Linked DNA regions of Nothobranchius furzeri. The protein of the gene in region 1 interacts with the protein of each later gene in a pairwise test. Links are inferred from orthologs where the notes say so. Each region holds a gene or a part of one and is shown on either strand. Other genes may lie near its edges. The genes, in order: fgfr1a and grb14.

Evidence for each region.
Region 2: the proteins of fgfr1a (region 1) and grb14 interact in a two-hybrid assay, tested with the Homo sapiens proteins (2 studies listed by BioGRID, with this or other methods). The link is inferred for Nothobranchius furzeri from reciprocal best matches to the Homo sapiens genes FGFR1 and GRB14.

Annotation. Positions count from the first base shown.
Region 1 is NC_091757.1:34,228,731-34,232,559, reverse strand, and holds part of fgfr1a (fibroblast growth factor receptor 1-A), read right to left. Parts: intron 3,561-3,829; coding exon 3,324-3,560; intron 2,948-3,323; coding exon 2,858-2,947; intron 950-2,857; coding exon 777-949; intron 1-776. UniProt on the Homo sapiens protein: Tyrosine-protein kinase that acts as a cell-surface receptor for fibroblast growth factors and plays an essential role in the regulation of embryonic development, cell proliferation, differentiation and migration.
Region 2 is NC_091754.1:19,777,193-19,780,261, reverse strand, and holds the end of grb14 (growth factor receptor-bound protein 14), read left to right. Parts: coding exon 1-99; intron 100-204; coding exon 205-274; intron 275-345; coding exon 346-433; intron 434-960; coding exon 961-1,054; intron 1,055-2,010; coding exon 2,011-2,157; 3' UTR 2,158-2,542; downstream 2,543-3,069. UniProt on the Homo sapiens protein: Adapter protein which modulates coupling of cell surface receptor kinases with specific signaling pathways. Binds to, and suppresses signals from, the activated insulin receptor (INSR). Potent inhibitor of insulin-stimulated MAPK3 phosphorylation.

The DNA.
Region 1 (3,829 bases):
AGACGTGCGTAAGAGAGTAGATTGTTTTTTAGACTCTCTGCATCCCACACCTGTGAGAAAATAATCACTGAATGTAATTTCCTTAAGTTAGAAGCGGGTTAACCTGGTTCCAACACTTTTAATCCCTTAAATCTGTAATCAATAACAAATAAAGTGTAGAATTAAAGTTTATTCCAGTCCCTAAAAATCAAATTAGTTGAATATATACAATTGTAACATTTAGAGCCTTTACACAACAGCATAAAGAAATCCATAAAAGATCCAACCCATCAGGTAAGACTAGAATCGAGGTAATAGTCCTATCCATCTTTATTTCATTTCAACCCTCACAAATTTAAATACAGGCTGCCGGCAAACAGGAAGAAATTTAGACAGAGTAATCACATTACCTTCACGAATACAGGAGGTAAATTTACTACTGCATGGATGTAATTACGGAAAAGATGATCAGTGTCACCCAGGAAGAGGACAGCGAGCTGCTTTGCTTCACCTAAACAGATGGCTAGGACTGCCGACCTAAAGGTATAACTGTAGCACAATATTCCTTCTGATAGCATAGGGTTTCAAACAGCATTGTGTCTCAAGTCAACTGTGAAACTTGTCTCTCCTATACACCCGCAGAAAGTGCTTTACTCCAGGGGAGGAGCTGTGAGCTAATGTGGAGATATCAGACTCTTCATCTTGGTAGTGAAACATCCCAGAATTAAAAATAGAAGGTAAAACAGTTGGAAGTGTCAATAGGAGGAAAAGATGATCAACGCTAATTTCTTATTTACCTTGAAGCCCCCGATGCGATGGTCTCTCTTAAACTCCTTTCCGTTCTTATACCATTTCAGAGTGGGAGTTGGGTTGCCGCTGGCCTGACATCGAAACTTCACTGTCTTACTGGCAGGAACAGCGTGAAGCTTCTTCTCCATTTTTTCTGGATGAGCCCACTGCGGGGCCATTGCTATTCACAAGAGCAAAATACATGCTTTAAATGAAGGGAATTTAAAACATTTAGAATTTTTAACTAAAGAATTATCTGGTTAAAAAGAAACAAAAAGTGGTCTTAGGAAAACAAAAATTTCTTGCAGACTGCCCACAACCTTAGTGGTGGGAATTAAAACCCTGATTGTTTCAGATTTCCACTCATCTGAACAAATCACCTTAAATTTAATTAAGGACACTCTCTGCCTGTAAAATATTTGTAAGAATTATTTGGGCCATTTAAAGCTAAAAATTTACATTTATTTTCTTTTTTTTTGTCATTTTTGGAAAAGCAGTGACTGATTTGAAAGGGACATTAGATACAGAGTATGCAGTGGGTACAGAAAGTATTCAGGCTTGTCAATTTTTCAAACTTAAATTGCCGCCATTTGCTAAATCAATTAAATTCATTTTTGTCATTAATGTCCACGCAGCAACCCATGTTGACAGAAAAACACTGAATGTTAGAAATTTATGCAGATTTATTAAAAAAGACAAACTGAAGTATCACATGGTCCTTAGTATTCAGACCCTTTGCTCAGTATTTGGCAGAAGCACCCTTATGAGCTAATGCAGCAATGATCTTAGTAAAGATGCAACAGGTTTCTTACACCTGGATTTGGGGATCCTCTCCACTTCTGTCAGGTTGGATGGCGAACGTTGGTGGACAGCCATTTTTAGGTCTCTCTAGAGATGCTCAATTGAGTTTTAGTCGGGGCAAGTGATGAGCAGTGCCTGGTTTTCTCCACACACCACCACTTATAAGTAAGGGCAAAAGTTCTATCTTGGTCTCCTCAGACCAGAGAATCTTATTTCTCATCATCTCAGGGCCCTTCAGGTGTCTTTTAGCAAGTGCTTCCATTTAAGGATTATGGAGGCCACTGTGCTCTTAGGAACTTTAGGTGCAGCAGAGATATTTTGTAACCTTGGCCAGATCTGGGCCTTGCCACAATTCTGTCTCTGCGCTCTTCAGGCATTGTGAGCTGTAAGGTCTTGTATAGACAGGTGTGTGTCTTTCCTAATCAAGTCCAATCAGGGTAATGAACACAGGTGGATTCCAATGAAGGTGTACCATCTCAAGGATGATCAGAAGAAATGGAAAGCACCCGAGGTAAATATACGAGTGTCACTGCAAAAGGTCTGAATACTTAGGACCATGTGATATCAGTTTTTCTTGTTTAATAACTCTGCAGAAATTTCTGTCAATATGGGGTGCTGTGTGTACATTAATAATGAAAAAAATTATTTAATTGATTTTAGCAAGTGAATGCAATATAACAAAGTGAATGTTGACAGGGGCCTGAATACTTTCTGTACCCACTGTATCAGATAAAACCAAAATGCCAAGTATAAACTAGACCACAACCGAATGCATTCAAAATCACAGTCATCACAAAAACATTTCAAGTTTAAAAGCTTGGCAGTTCTTTTTAATTAAAAACAAACACTTTAATTAAAAACTCCAGCTTCAAAAAAGTCATTTGTGGAGTGTAAATTTCATTGAGAGATAAGTCGGGCAACAAACTCAAGGTCGACATGCTTTTCATGCTTGGCAGCTACTGGATTCTTTGTGGGCTGAGCGGGAAGTAGCAAGAAGATGAGAAAGCCAAACTGTTTTAATTACACTATAGACAAGTTGGGGCTCATCCAAGGTTAACCACGATTAATCACCACAGGAACATTAATCATGTAAGAGCCGTCACAGAGGCAGTGGAGAAGGTCTGAATCTGAGTGAAATAATTAGCCCGGTTGTGACCCACACACACGGCACGCCTATAATCGAATTATAAAGCTCTGAAATCACTGGCTGTTCCCAACAATTACTCACAATCCTTCTTGGGTGAGTCAATAATCAGCAATGGTAGTATATGGAGATCTGACCACTTACGCATCAGCTTCTGACTGGCCAACTGCTTGTTTTCTTCTGATGAAGACTCCTCTTCATCGTCATCATCCTCAGATGATGCCAATATATCAACTAGTGGGCAGAAAAGCATTTTGGGAACTCAACTTTATGTACATTCAGGTTCACCAGTGATGCAACATTAAAGGACAAGAGGTCTTGAAGTTATAACAAAAAAAAAAAGAAAAAAAAAGACAACACTAAAAATTCACTTCATTTGTCAGATTTGTGAAAATAAACCTATTTTGAATCTTGCAAAAAGAATCATTCCTACCTTGGAAGTTATTTGCAACATAAGACGAGTAAATGAGTATTTATGACCTGCTTATTAAAATGCAGCCTAACTACTAAAATAAACAGGAAATATTCAATCGTGCATCTCTAACAAAATCAGAAGCACAGCAAGCAAGAATTACACATGAAAACATTTTACAGTTTTGTGTTTTTGTACCTGACACATTAAAGAACACACTGTGGTTGCCAAAGGTGGTGCATCCATACAAGCCAGAGTCTGTCAGCTCCACGGCCTCGATCTCCAGCTGACCGTTGTGGATGTGGGCGTGTTCTCCATCCACAAGAGCAGCATGGTCTTTGGTCCAGTTCACAGTATGGATGGAGTCTTTGGGAGAGCAGCTCAGATACAGGCGATTCCCAAGAAACAGGGTGAACAGCTCTGCTTCCACAGGGACTACAAAGGAAGCAAGTTACTGGTTACTGACTTCCTTACAGCCCACACCACTTAACCTTGATGATGGTTTTAACCACCAGCACAAAAGCCATGAAAGCACACCAGCATTACACTAGAAGCTCCATTACTTCTTTAAAACATAATGATTTGGTTCTTTGACTGCTGCTATTGGATCAGCACCTTTTTAATCATATTAACTGAATGCTGAGGCACAGCTGAGGTGCGATAGTGGTCCCATCACAAATAGAACATTTGAAGGGAGCTTAAAT
Region 2 (3,069 bases), on another chromosome or scaffold:
TCACTGGTAGCCATGGACTTTTCTGGACAAAAGACTCGTGTGATCGAGAACCCGTCTGAGGCTCTGTCTGTGGCTGTGGAGGAAGGACTGTCATGGAGGGTGGGAAGATTTTTACCTGGCATGTTAAGATAAAGTGCTCCTAATTCAAATTTGCCACAAAACATAAAACAGGATCCACCCCCCCCCCCCCCCCTTTTTTTTTAGAGAAGAAGCTGCCACCGTTTGAGCGGTCATGGGAGCCCCTCTGCTACTCAGAGTTCAGTGTCAAGCTTAGGTTTGTCAAATTCTTCTTGAACTATTCACAAAATGACAAAAAAGTTGTAATATTTCATCTTTATGCATCAGCAATCCATTTGTCCCAGCCATGGTTTCATGGTAAACTGTCTCGAGACGAGGCTCAGCGTCTAATAACCCATCAGGGTCCCATTGATGGGTACGTTTTCTGCTTTTTTCCCCCCACACATTTTCTTTTTTAACCCTCTGGAGGCAGGCGTTGCAGATATGCAACAGTTAACCCTCTCAGGCTCAAAATAAGTTTTGATAAAAGGACGAGCAACTAAGTTCTTAAGGGGTACTACTGAGTTACAAAATGCTCATCAAATACGTATGTGGCGTAACCAGGTAGGTAGGTTTTAACGTTGCAAATCTGCAACACCAGAGGGTAAAAACCTACCTACCTGGTTACTCCACATACGTATTTCATGAGCATTTTTAACTCAGAAGTACCCCTGAAGGACTTAGTTGCTCATCCTTTTATCAAAACTTACTTTGAGCCTGAGAGGGTTATGGTATTTTAACTGTTATTGATACAAAATGGCTGTATCATGGCATTTTGTGCATTGGTTTTATGCTAAATGTCAGCGCTTTGGGCTTCCTGACAGGGTTGCGGAAGGCGCTTTATAAATAAAGCTTTGATTGATTGATTAAATGGCAGTGATAAGCCTTTTTTTCTTGTTTCAGAGTGTTTCTTCTGAGGGACAGCCAAAGCAACCCAAAGACATTTGTTCTGTCGCTTTGCCACATGCAGAAAATCAAACACTTTCAGATTCTACCTGTGAGTAAAGCATATCTTTGATTATAAAACACTTTGTGTTCAACTAATTAAATGCCACAAATACAGTGGTGCCCTCAGAAAACGTTAATGGAGGTCCTTGGGCACCCCTGGCCACCCTTTGGGGACACAGCTGCACAAATGCACCCAGCCATTCATGCATCATTTTATTTTTGTAGTTTTTTTGTTTCCAACTTCAGAAAACCTTACCACACTCAACACTTGTGTTTAAGCTTCACCTGTGACGTCATTCTCTTCATAAAACACGAGTGATTCTGACTCATAGATCATTTGTCTGATGTCTTGTTCTTCTAGGTCAAGAAAAATCTTTATCATTTTATTTGTCTGAAGTCACTGATACGATGTGTAGAATAAAAAACCGGGATAGATTAAGTCTGATCCCCTGACAGACCTGTTATCCAGAGGCTTTTGGAACACAGGAATAGTCAGTATAACTTCAGATGAACCAGCATCTTTAAAAAAATAAAAGCTAGAACTAAAAGGTTGATGAATTTTTGTAAGAGTAGTTAGTCTGTGGAATGACTTGGAAGATCAGTTAAAACAGGCCGAAACAGTAAAAACATTTAAAAAGATGTTTAAATTAAATCAAGTTCAGAAATGTATAGCTCAGGATGAATAAAGCTAGAAATCAGTGAACAGCGTTTGAAACAGATCCGTGTAGCAGATGTAATGAATTAAAAATCATGATTTAGTTGAAAATAAATTACTTAAACATGTTCATTGTGAGACAGATTTTTTATGTTTAAAACAATCTTAAATATTAGCTAATATCTCTGTTCGATACCAGATTTGGTTTATTATAAAAGTTTGTGTCTGTTTTTCATAGAATGTTAATCGGGTTAGCCATAATAAGTATTTACTTCAGCCTATTCCATTTAGGTCATGTTGCATATGTAAATTGGATAAAAGTTTATGACTTTCATGATTATATCCCTCAGGTGGATGATGAAGGGCAGGTGTTCTACAGTTTGGATGATGGCCACACTCAGTTCACAGACTTGATCCAGTTGGTGGAGTTTTACCAGTTAAATCGAGGGACCCTGCCCTGCAAGCTCAAGCACCACTGTACTCAAATCACCCTCTGAAGTGGGACTCGAGAGTCTCCAGAGGACCCCAAAGCACCTTAACTCTGGCTTCTGGACGAACAGTCCAAGTGGGCTTGTGCCTTGAAGAAAATTCATGAAAAGACTTTTTTTTATATATGTGGTACAAAACCCACCCTTATTTTGTTATTACTACGTTATTATTATGTTTTTTTAGAAGACCATTTTCAAAATAAGCTGTGTATTAAACGACTACTGGTGCTTTAGATACCATGCAACCATGTTTATGGTTTAGTGATGTGTCGCTTCGAGACAGGAAGTCTGTTTTACAATGTCTAAACTTGACTTCCTGCAGTCACTGTAAAGCTGAATGCATTTTGTAAACAGGTAATGATTCACAATACAATAAAAGAATGGTTTAACCATGGTTTAGCCCAAGGGCGTCAGTTTGTTTTCAGAATTGCTGGGGACAATAAAGTAGGCTAGCACAGGGGTCGGCAACCGCGGCTCTGGAGCCGCATGCGGCTCTTCCATCCATCTGACATCTGTGCTTGTAAAATAATGAATGGATATTTAAATAAAATGCTTTATATTTTACTGCATTAATTTTACATCTGCAAGCTAATTCTAAATGTAAAGATTGTCTGCGTAAACCTGAGCAGGTCCAACCCGGTCTTACTGTGAGACCGGGTTGACGCGTCACGCTTGTGCGTAATCATATGCGCTTTATGAGCTGAAGACAATGTGAGATTCTGGAATTCTCCTCAGACGGCTCCTGGATGCGTCGCCACATTGGAGACAGGAACAAGCGCTATTCAGCCAAAGTTTCATAATCAGGGAACATTTTCTAAGTGACAAGTCTCTCTGAGAGACCGGGTTTGGAAAACACTCGCTTCAGTGGGAGGAACCTTCCCACATGCGCTCTGGTTCTCTGGGTGGCTCTGGGGTTAATCA